Linked DNA regions of Canis lupus familiaris. The protein of the gene in region 1 purifies or fractionates together with the protein of each later gene. This does not show direct contact. Links are inferred from orthologs where the notes say so. Each region holds a gene or a part of one and is shown in the gene's direction. Other genes may lie near its edges. The genes, in order: COPA, COPG2 and COPG1.

What was found.
Region 2: the proteins of COPA (region 1) and COPG2 fractionate together in Homo sapiens (co-fractionation; 4 studies listed by BioGRID and IntAct, with this or other methods). This does not show direct contact. The link is inferred for Canis lupus familiaris from reciprocal best matches to the Homo sapiens genes COPA and COPG2.
Region 3: the proteins of COPA (region 1) and COPG1 purify together in Homo sapiens (affinity purification with mass spectrometry; 6 studies listed by BioGRID and IntAct, counting the BioPlex papers as one, with this or other methods). This does not show direct contact. The link is inferred for Canis lupus familiaris from reciprocal best matches to the Homo sapiens genes COPA and COPG1.

Annotation. Positions count from the first base shown.
Region 1 is NC_049259.1:22,751,663-22,755,307, forward strand, and holds part of COPA (coatomer subunit alpha), read left to right. Parts: intron 1-1,892; coding exon 1,893-2,055; intron 2,056-2,158; coding exon 2,159-2,305; intron 2,306-3,436; coding exon 3,437-3,626; intron 3,627-3,645. UniProt on the Homo sapiens protein: The coatomer is a cytosolic protein complex that binds to dilysine motifs and reversibly associates with Golgi non-clathrin-coated vesicles, which further mediate biosynthetic protein transport from the ER, via the Golgi up to the trans Golgi network.
Region 2 is NC_049235.1:6,177,689-6,181,433, forward strand, and holds the start of COPG2 (coatomer subunit gamma-2), read left to right. Parts: upstream 1-1,447; 5' UTR 1,448-1,545; coding exon 1,546-1,582; intron 1,583-2,825; coding exon 2,826-2,878; intron 2,879-3,106; exon of another isoform or gene 3,107-3,315; intron 3,316-3,445; coding exon 3,446-3,526; intron 3,527-3,745. Other genes in the region: TSGA13 (testis-specific gene 13 protein), read left to right, coding at 838-1,004. UniProt on the Homo sapiens protein: The coatomer is a cytosolic protein complex that binds to dilysine motifs and reversibly associates with Golgi non-clathrin-coated vesicles, which further mediate biosynthetic protein transport from the ER, via the Golgi up to the trans Golgi network.
Region 3 is NC_049241.1:2,885,578-2,889,322, reverse strand, and holds the start of COPG1 (coatomer subunit gamma-1), read left to right. Parts: upstream 1-1,059; 5' UTR 1,060-1,177; coding exon 1,178-1,214; intron 1,215-2,140; coding exon 2,141-2,193; intron 2,194-2,636; coding exon 2,637-2,717; intron 2,718-3,176; coding exon 3,177-3,248; intron 3,249-3,361; coding exon 3,362-3,441; intron 3,442-3,745. UniProt on the Homo sapiens protein: The coatomer is a cytosolic protein complex that binds to dilysine motifs and reversibly associates with Golgi non-clathrin-coated vesicles, which further mediate biosynthetic protein transport from the ER, via the Golgi up to the trans Golgi network.

The DNA of each region.
Region 1 (3,645 bases):
CAAAAATCAACTTCAAGGAGATCACAGTTCTAGATATAAAAACAGAACTATAAAGTTTCTACAAGAGAACATAAAATAATGCCTTTATGACCTTGGAGTCGATAATGATTTCTTACATGAAATACAAAACCTAATATCCATAAAAGATAAGATTCATAAATTCAACAATATTAAAATAAGAACACCTGTTCATTAAAGGGTATCATAAACAGAATCAAGAGACAAGCTACAGAATGGAAAGAGACATTAAGATTTGCAATGTGTAGCCCTAACAGAGGACACATACTCAAATATATGAAAAGCTCCTAAAATTACCGAGGATAATTCATTTATTTTTTTTAAGATTTTTTATTTATTTATTCATGAGAATACACAGAGAGTACAACTCTCAGTGAGTTTGTAATAAATTTCAATTTAATTCTTCCTGAGATGGGGCGGCCCGGGTGGCTCAGCGGTTTAGCACTGCCTTTGGCCCAGGGTGTGATCCTGGGGACCTGGGATTGAGTCCCACGTCAGGCTCCCTGCATGGAGCCTGTTTCTCCCTCTGCCTGTGTCTCTGCCTCTCTCTCTCTCTCTCTCTCTCTCTCCCTCTCTCTCTCTCATGAATAAATTAAATCTTTAAAAAAATTTTTTTTCCTGAAATGTTAGGTAGAATTTGCCTGTGAAGTCATCCAGGCCTGGGGCTTTCTTTTATAGGAAGATTTTTTTTATGATTCAGTTTATCTTGTGTAATAGTTACAGGACTGTATGGGGTTTTCTAATTCTTTTTAGTCAGTTTTGGTAAATTTTACTTTTCTTGGAATTTGATCATTTAAAAAAGTGTATGCCTATCCTCATCCTACAAGAGCCAGAGGAATACCCCGTTTTCCATTCCTATTTTTGCTGTTCTTTTTTCTTAATTAGCCTAATGAGAGGTTTATCAATTTTATTTAGCTTTTGCCTTTATTGAACTTCTGTGTTGTATTTTTGTTTTCCATTTCTTAAAATTATGATTGGCTTCATTTTTTTTAAGTATATTCTTTGATTTAACTTAAAAGAACAAAGTTTTTGAGCCAAGTGCTTATTAATTTTCACTACATTTTAATTTTTTGTCTTATATTGATTCTCTAATGTATGTATGTAGAGCTCATTAGTCTTCAGTGTTTCTTTTAGTACAGTGTGTGCACTTAGCATCCTAGATTATCAGTCGTGTATTGTGTTAGCTGTGCCCATAAGTTTGATAAACTTTTTTTTTTTTTAAGATTTTATTTATTTATTCATGAGAGACAGAAAGGCAGAGACACAAGGCAGAGGGAGAAGCAGGCTCCCTGCGGGGAGCCTGATGTGGGACTCAATCCCGGACCCCCTGGGACCGTGCCCCGAGCCGAAGGCAGATGCTCTATCACTGAGCCACCCAGGCGTCCCAGTTTGATAAACTCTTAATTTTTGTTCAATTTAAAATATTTTTGCTTTTTGTTTATTTCTTCATGTGTCAGAAGTTTGCATCTCCTGCTCTTCTACTTTCACTTGTAGCTGCAAGGAAGGATTTAACTGGCCCGGTGACTATATATTAGAAGTTAAGATTTAACTTTAGGGAGAGAAAAAAAAAAAAAGATTTAGCTTTAGGTCTGATTCCTGTAGCCGTGTCTGTTGGCTTCCAGAATAATAGCTTATGAAGGGAGATCATATAATGTGCCCCATCTCTTCCTACTTCATACAAAAGAATAAGTAAATGTGGCATTTAGTTCTGTTCTTTTTTGACTTGCTTCCCATCTATACCATTGTGCAAATAGCACTTGGCAAAAGAGCAGTGACAAGCTGAAAAGTTGTGTCCTTGGCTTGTTCCAGGTCCTTACAGGTTGTGTTTTCCCCATCACTTGCTGAAACTTGTGCCCTCTAATTCCTGTTTGCAGGGACTATGGAATCATCCGAACCCTGGATTTACCAATCTATGTTACGCGGGTGAAGGGCAACAATGTGTATTGCCTGGACCGGGAATGTCGTCCTCGAGTGCTCACCATTGATCCCACTGAGTTCAAGTTCAAGCTGGCCCTGATCAACAGAAAATATGATGAGGTATAAACGAGAGTGCACACTGGGGGGTGTGAGAGAGGGCTGGCACTCCCTTTTTTCCTCTGCATGATCTCTTTTTCTGCCCGACCCCACCCCAAATGTCTAGGTACTGCACATGGTGAGGAATGCCAAACTAGTAGGCCAGTCTATCATTGCTTACCTGCAGAAGAAGGGCTACCCGGAAGTGGCACTGCATTTCGTCAAGGATGAGAAAACTCGCTTTAGTCTGGCACTCGAATGTGGAAATATTGAGGTGAGGGAGACGTGGTCATGAGCCCCATGTCATTGCAGAGAAGGTTGAGAGGGTTATGGTCACATTGTGAGGACATTATTCTAGGCCTCTTCTTCAGCAAGTATGATGCAATTTGAGATTTTTTTAGTTGTTAGGTAGAGCTGTCTTCCTGTTGCTGTTTGCCCATCTCTGCTACTTCCTGTCTCTGCTTCTGCCATAGCATTGCTACTGTCATCATTATCAGTCATTCTGAATTCATTAACTTCTAGAATTGGAGGAACAGAGCATGGAATCTGAAAAGTCTCATTATTTCCTTCACCTTTTACTTCCTGATTGGCTGCTTAGATGTAGTAGTACTTATGATATATTGGGACCTGGAGGGGTACTTGGGTGGCTCAGTCAGCATCTGACTCGATCTCAGCTTAGTGAGTTCAAGTCCTGTGTTGGGCTCCAGGCTGGATGCGGAGCCTGCCTAACGATAAAATAAAATCTTAAAAAATTGTTGAGGGGCGCCTAGGTGGCTCAGTTGGTTAGGTGTCTGCCTTCGGCTCAGGTCATAAGTTCCAAGGTCCTGGATCAAGCCCCACCTTGAGTTCTTGCTCTGTGGGGAGCCTGCTTCTCCCTCACCCTCTGCCTGTTGCACGCAGCTTGCACTCTCTTTCTGTCAAAGAAATAAATAAAATCTTTAAAAAAAAAAAAAAGTGGGGACCTAGAGTGTACAGGCATTATTTTTAAATGGGAGGAGGGCTTAGGTGAGTTAATTTTCTAGTTCTATTTTCTGTAAAAGTAAACATCTTTTTTTTTTTTTTTTTTTTTTAAGGCTCCCATGAAGGGAGCCTGATGCGGGACTCGATCCCAGGACTCCAGGATCACGGCCTGGGCCTAAGGCAGGCGCTAAACCACTGAGCCACCCAGGGATCCCCTAAAAGTAAATTGCTGAGGAGAAGGATAGTGTGATGTGATTCTTTCCATGGAGCCAGAGGGACTCTGTGTGGTGGTAGGAATTTTCAGTAGAATTAAACTGAAAACTGGGAGTGATTACAGCTATAGAGAGCCTGTGGGAAATTTATGTAGAGGCAGATACTTTGTAGTCCCTGGTTTTGAGTCACAGTATCTGCCAACCTGTTAACTCTGACCCTCGGGATTCTTTAGATTGCTCTGGAAGCAGCCAAAGCACTGGATGACAAGAACTGCTGGGAAAAGCTAGGAGAAGTGGCCTTGCTACAGGGGAACCACCAGATTGTAGAAATGTGTTATCAGCGCACCAAGAACTTTGACAAACTTTCTTTCTTGTACCTCATCACTGGCAACCTAGAGAAACTTCGCAAGATGATGAAGATTGGTGAGTCCCCAGCAACTAA
Region 2 (3,745 bases), on another chromosome or scaffold:
ATATCTGTCTGTAGCAATTAGTAGATTTCTGGGGATTTTACAGTTTCCTTCAAGAAAAGTTGAGTACTTACTTTACTCTAAAGGGCTCCTTTTGATGCTTTCCCTAAAGAAAGCCCATGGGGCTGAGAAGTTGAAACAATGTCTCCACTTCAAGCAAAAGGGACTGCCAGCAAACCCTCGTTCTGCCAATAGCCAGTCACGTTCCACGTTTGCCAGGCAACCAAAGAAAGAAAGATTACCCAGAGAATGTTGTAGATGGGGGCTGATTAGGGGGCCCTGGAAGAGATAGACGGTAGGGCTTGAACCAAGGTGATGGCAGTAGGAAGGAGCAAACAGATTCAAGAGATATTGGCAAGACATAATGCATCAAAAAAGTGTGGAGGGATGGAAGCAAGAAGAGCCCACGGTGGAAGCTTCCAAGTACAGGCAGAGGTTAAAAGAGAATCTGGATCAAGTGATGACACTGAAGCCAAAGGTAGAAACAGTTTCTTAGTTACACTCTCAGACGGGAGAACCTGAAAGCCACACACACTTTAGGAGAAGGCTACGAGGAGTATGAATGCGCCTTATTGAGAGTTCTCTAAGTGTCAACGTGCTTGCAGGTGGGATCGTTGGAAAGGGGTGGGATGACACCGGGAAGCCTCTCTGAACTGGCAGGGTTTTGATGAACGGAAGGAATCCAGAAGTGTGAAGAAGCTTGGGCGCGGTAGTCCGTGGTCCAACATTTGCCCTCTTGTTCCGTCCCTCCAAGCGGGTCTCTTTCCTGCCTCCCACTGAGCGTCCTTCTCGACCCTCTGGAAACCCACCCTGACCAGGGGGCCCCGTGCTTTGTTGCAGTCGCCAAGTCAGGGAGTGACGTGCCGACCTCCGAGGCGGCCCGCGCACCGCCGAGCCTTTCCTCGCTCCCGAACCAGGAACCCGCCAGCCCTGTGCCCGGGGAGCGCGCCCGCCGCGACGGAAGGGCCCCGCAGCGGATCGTCAGGAAGGCCGCTGCCCTCCAGTGAAGGCGACCCTCCCGGCCGCCGCCGCCTCCCCAGGCTCGGGGGCCGCACCAGGCGCCGTCCAGGGCGCGCAGACCAAATAAAACCGCATTGTGCTCGCTCCGGGCTGGCGCTGCGGCTCGCCGGCCGGCGGGTGCGCCCCCCCGTGGGCCCCCGCCCCGCGCCCCCGCCCCCCCGTGGGCCCCCGCCCCGCGCCCCCCCGCCCCGCGACCCCCCGTGGGCCCCCGCCCCGCGCCCCCCCGCCCCGCGCCCCCCCCGTGGGCCCCCGCCCCGCCCCGCCCCGCCCCGCAGGGGCCGCGACGCACCCCGGGGGCCCAGCGCCGGCCCCGCCTCCGCGCGGCTGCGGGCGGGGCGAGGGCGTGGCCGCGGCCCCGGGGGACGGGCGCGGCCGCCACAGCCGGGAGGGCGGGCCTTCTCCCCGAGTGACGGGACGGCGACCCAACCGGCGCCGGGGCGCGGGGCCGGCCTTCCTGCAGCCTCTTCCGCTCGCGGCTGCGGCGCCTGGACGGTTGCGGTGGGTCTGGGCGCTGGGAAGTCGTCCAAGATGATTAAAAAATTCGACAAGAAGGACGAGGAGTCTGGTACGCGCTGGGCTGCCGACGCCCACCCTCGGCCGCGGGGCCCCTTCCCCGCCCGCCGCCACCTGCTCCCGGGGGCCGCGGACCCGCAGGCGTGGGCGCCCGGTGCGCCAGGGGGCCGGAGCTGGAGCCCGCCCCTCCCTCTCTCCCTCCCTCCCTCCCTCCCTCCGCCGGCCCCGCTCGGCTCCGCTCGGCCCCGCTCGGCCCCGCTCGGCTCCGCTCGGCTGCAGCCCGGGGCCTGCCCCTAGCCCCTCCCCCGGCCTCGGAGCCTCCCCTCGGGTCGCGCGCCCCGCGCCCGCCCCCGCCCCCGCGCCCGCCCCCGGGCGCAGCCCCTCGGAGCCGCCTCCGCCTCCGCCTCCGCCTCCGCCTCCGCCGCGCCGCGGGGGGGGGCGGGGGGTGCTCCAGGCCGAGGAGGCGGGCCCGCGGCGCGGCGAGGGGCGGGTGCACGCGCGCTGGGGGCGCCGGAGGTGGTCCGCCGGGACCGAGTGTGCGCGTGTGTGTGCGCGTGGGTGTGCGCGTGTGTGTGCGCGCGCGCGCGTGTATGAACCTGGAAGCGCCTTGGCCCTTCCAGCCTGCCCGAGGACCTTAGCTGTGTCCGCCTCCCAGGGGATTACGACTGGCCCACGGTACGGAGGATGCTCGAGTGGCGTTCTCGAGACCCAACTTTGATCCAGAGCGAGTGGGGAAGATGCCAAGCCACCTAAAAACACCCCCCCCCCGCCCAACCCCCCAACTCCCAAAGCACAAGCCCTCAGTGTTTGGTTCGGCTCTCCCATGGTGTGGTGGACGTTTGGGTTTAGTAAATCTCCATGGCCCCTTCCAGCTTGACAGCATTCTTGGCTATAAACTCTTTTCTGCCTCGAAGTAATTGTTGGAAACATGGAAGATAGCGCTTGTCTTTCAGGGAAATCCAAAAGGGTCCTACCACAGTCTCATTAATCTTAGCTGTGTGAACATAACATAGGCTCGCAACAGTCCCATAAAAAGAGGACAAGGAAAGAAGACACTCTTTTTGGGCAGGGATCGTGCAAAAGAGAAGTGCAAGATCCTCAGTAACTAGCAACGACAGCTAGTACCAGAATCCATATGATTTTATTCAGTTCATATGTGTATTAGTAACGCTTGTCACTGTGCTATCCAAGTGGTCGCTTCATCTAGGTGAGATATCCCAAGCATTCAGTACCCTTCTGTAGACAGTAAGTTTGTCTTGGACAGCTATTGAAGACATTTTTTGTTTATGATATAGGTAGTGGCTCCAATCCTTTTCGGCATCTGGAGAAGAGTGCTGTCTTACAGGAGGTATGACTTGGAAGTATATTGTGTTCTTTCTTTCTATTCCATTTTGGAATGGTGGGCAGAGAGCCTCCGGAATATGATGACCCGAAATAAGAATTGAAGGATGTAATAATTGTGTTCGGAAAATACAGACCTGAGGGAAGAGGAAGAGGGGTTAACTTACCATAGGAGGGTCTAGAGCTTACAGAAACGCAAAACTGTGTAGACACTCTGCCACATGTTGATAATTTTAAGTAAAATGCCAAAGAGATGTTTAGCACAAGGTTACTGAAGGAAGTTAAAGATATTAAGCTAATTATATTCAGATGATATAGATAAATATTACGATTCTTAACACACATAACGCCCATAAAGTTGAAGTACTAGATGTAAGGGAAGGAGTTAGTATAGACGGAATATAAAGACCAAAGTGTATCGTATACTGTGATAAATTGAAAACTGTAAGCAACTAACATTATGTGGATGTTGTGATCAAAATATGTAATAGTCTATTTGATTAAAGTTGATCTTTTGTAATATGATAGAAATGACAGAAAACATGCTGTTTAAAAATGTTTTTCGTTCCCACAGGCTCGCATATTCAATGAAACACCCATCAATCCAAGAAGATGTTTGCATATTCTTACAAAGATTCTTTACTTACTGAACCAAGTAAGCTATTTTGATTTTCCTCAGATTTGTTTCCTGGAAAAGAAATACATAACATTCAGTGAAGTACTTTTTGGAAAGTATAGTTAATTTCTTAAAATTCACTCAATTTAAAAGTATATAGTGTTTGATTAAGGTGATGATATGTAAAACTTCTTGAGGACAAGGATTATGACATATATTTCTGTTTTATTCATGAGGTACTAGACCAGCTAAGCACAT
Region 3 (3,745 bases), on another chromosome or scaffold:
ATTTTCTCTTGGGTGATTTCCACCGAATAAGGAGTGGGGATACCGGCTGGATTTTGAATATCTTTCCGACTCTTCACAATTGCACCTTGGCGCAGGATCTGCCCCCTCCCCTTCCCCCCAGCCCCCAGCCCCCAGTCCCCAGCCTCCGCCTCCGCAAAGCCTAACCCTGGAGCCTGGCCCTCCCCCTGACTCCACTCCGGCTGTGCCGCAGGCCCCTCCGCCCCTCTCCTCCAGCGACCTCCAGGTCCTCGGCCGTCCTGGCTCGCGCTTGCCGGCCAGGTGCACTTCGGGACGCTGGCACGCACCGTCCTTACCTGAGCCTCTGTGTCCCGCGCAGGTGCCCAGGTAGACAAACTGCGGAGGACGTTCCTTTTTCCCCTTTCAGTCCATTCCCGCCTCCAGCGGTAGGGCGGCGCGTCTGGTAAGCGCTTGATAAACATCCAAAGTATTTTAAACAGCACCTTGAAGTTTCTAGGCTGTTTTTTTACTTTAGGTCCCTGAAAGTTAAAAACAATTTGCACCATGATTAGATGCGATGGGGAGGGGGAGATATGAATTAGTAAGAGAAAGTTCATGCATTTCATGCACGAAAGTTCATTCAAGAATTGACTGAGCACCTACTATATGCCACCGTTATCCACGGTGGTGAGTAAAAGACAATAAATTCAATAAAGTAAAAAAGCAGTGTGTTAGATGGTGATTCGAGCTAGGGAGACAAATCCGGCGCGGTTAGGAGACTGAAAGCAAGGCCTCCCTGAAGTGACCCTAGTAAGTGCTAACAATTGGGTGTCTACCGCGGCGGGCGTGCTAGGGGCCTCACCTGGGGAAGCCCGTTTAGACTAACGCCACAACGCAGGGAGGGGGGAACGACTGCTCCCATTGCACAAATAAGGAGGACGTAAGGCGCACGGCAGGGGTACACGTCAGCCCGAGTCCGAGGCCTCTGCCCTCCCCCGCAACTCCCGGCCCTGAGCCCTGTTCCTCCCCGGCAGGGAGAGGGTTAAAGCCGGGCGTAGCTCCGGGTTGTGCGCGTGCGCGGAGCGCAGATTGCGCGTGCGCAGAACGCGGGACTACGTGGCTGGCCGGAAGTGGCCTGTGCGGAGCTGCCCCCGGGTCGCTGCCGCTTGCTGCACGGGTCTGCCACAGGGCTGCTGCTTCGCGCCCCGCCGGCACCACCATGCTGAAGAAATTCGACAAGAAAGACGAGGAGTCGGGTGAGGGGGCGTAGGCTGGGGGAGGCCGGACCCTCGCGCAGGCTCTCTGCACCCGCCCGGGGAGCCGTCCTTCCGGGCCCCTTCCTCGACGGGAAGCCGAGACCCGGGGACGGGGGTGGGCAGGGGTTGTGCCAACGTCCGCAGGGGGGCAGTGGCAGGCCTTGGAGAGCCCGAGCGTGCTCCGCTGCCCCCTCTCGGGGGCTCGACCACAGTTCGCTGGGTGACCTTGGGTGGGTCATGCGCCTCTGGGGGCCTCGGTTTCCCCAGCTGTTAGGAGGAGGGGCCCGGCCAGATGCACCGTGGTGGCTTTCTCAGTGAGACCCCTTGGGATTCACGGGGCTGCGTTGCTGCTGGCCGAACGGGAGCGTAATCTGTGGAGCCAGTGCTGTGGCTAAGAACCCTCTTTCATTTATTTATTCAGTAAACATGTGTTGAGCGCTTGCCGAATGCCCGGCACTGTATTGCATCCCGAGATTGTAGTAGAACAATGAGACCCTCAGGGCTTCATCTGGGAATATTAAGTCACAGGCCTAGTGGAGAAGCTAGACACCAACCAGATAAAGACACACGTAATTGATTACAAATGTGACATTTGCTGTGAAGAAATCCTCGTCACTAGGAGACAATGGTCCCCACACATTGTAGGGACTCAGTTAAGTACAAGTTGCATAAATGAATGCAAGACACCACACTGAGAAGCACAGAAGGACTGTACCAGGGCTGCTGGGTGACCGAGTGGTTTCGGGTAGAAGGAGCTCCCTGCAGAAGAGTGGTAGGATCTATGTGCAAGTTGTAGAGCTTTGATTGCCCTTCTGGAGTAATTTGAACTTGACTAGGTAGACAGTAGTGACATCTTTCCCTTCTCTATGTCTGCAAGGTTTGCAGTTTAGGCTTCCAACCCATACTCACTCTTCTTTGCTCTGTAGGTGGAGGCTCTAACCCATTCCAGCATCTTGAGAAGAGTGCAGTACTCCAGGAGGCAAGTATCATTTACCTTCTCCATCCTAAGTGTTCATAATCAACGTGTTCAAAATACTAACACCTTTAAAGTGGTGCTTTAAAGAACAGTAAGGGAGGAACCTGTTCCTGGAAAGACAGGAAAACTTCCTGGAGAGAGTTCATTATGCTCGCCTTTGTTGTTGTTCCTGCTCTCTGTTTCTTTTTCTACTTAACAAGTGTTTATTAAAAACCTGTTAGTAAGTCAGCACATCCCTAACTAATATTTAGGGAAGATTTGAGGAGTGGTTAGTAGATGAATTAAGGAAAAAACAAAACAACACTGTTTCCTTATGAAAGTAAGCTTTTTAGGCAAATGTATTTATTTACCCTGGGACTTCTCAGATTTTGAATGTGCTTGAGTGCAATCAATGGGAAGGAAATAAACCAGGCTAGAAAGTAATGTTCTTGGTTGCTTTTTATTAGGCTCGTGTATTTAATGAAACTCCCATCAATCCTCGAAAATGTGCGCACATCCTCACCAAGATCCTTTACCTCATAAACCAGGTAAGAGGATGGAACTTGGGGATCCCTGGGTGGCTCAGCAGTTTAACGCCTGCCTCCAACCCAGGGTGTGATCCTGGAGTCCTGGGATCAAGTCCCACATCAGGCAGGGAGCCTGCTTCTCCCTCTGCCTGCCTCTGCCTCTGTCTCTCTCTCTCTGCCTCTCGTGAATAAAGAAATAAAATCCTAAAAAAAAAAAAAAAAAAAAAGGATGGAACTTGGGGGGTGAGGGAAATGGTGCTGGAGGTTGTTGGAGGGGTTGCTAAGATAGCCCTTCAGATATCTGACAGCTCCTGTGTGATGGTTGTCCAGCTCTGGGTCTCCTCAATGTCTAACTCTGATGTATTGCCCTTGGTGCCCTTGCCTCTGCAGGGTCTGAGGATCTGGCCTGGGCTGAACTGGCAGAAAGAGCCTTCTGGCCTCTCTGCCCCACACTGAGACTTTCTTTTTCGACTAAAACAGGGGGAGCACCTAGGGACCACTGAAGCAACTGAGGCCTTCTTTGCCATGACCAAGCTCTTTCAGTCCAATGACGTAAGTGCCCTCAGTCAGTATGGTCTACCTTTGTGTGGGTTGGAGTTTTCCTTACCTTGGCCCTCTTGCTGAGCCACGGGTCAGTTATAGGACTTTTCCTATTTATTTTCCAGCCCACGCTCCGTCGGATGTGCTACTTGACCATCAAGGAGATGTCTTGCATCGCTGAGGATGTTATTATCGTCACCAGCAGGTGAGTCTTAGGTTGATGGATGATGGTTCCCTTGATGGAGGCCATTGACACAGAGGCCGTTTTTTTCTCTTGTGTATCAGGCAATGAGATTTTGTTTAATATAATACCAGGCACCCTTTCCTCTTTTGTCTCCCTCATCCTTGTGTTACTGCTGCCTACCCCATGGCAGCCTCCGGAGTGTGCAGTTTCCTTTTTAATTCTCTGACCTTACCTTAGAGCACAAACCCTTCCTTGCCTTGATTCCTCTCAGTCAACTGAGCCACCCTGGAACTTTCACAAAGACTTTAGTGAGTACCAAGAGAGA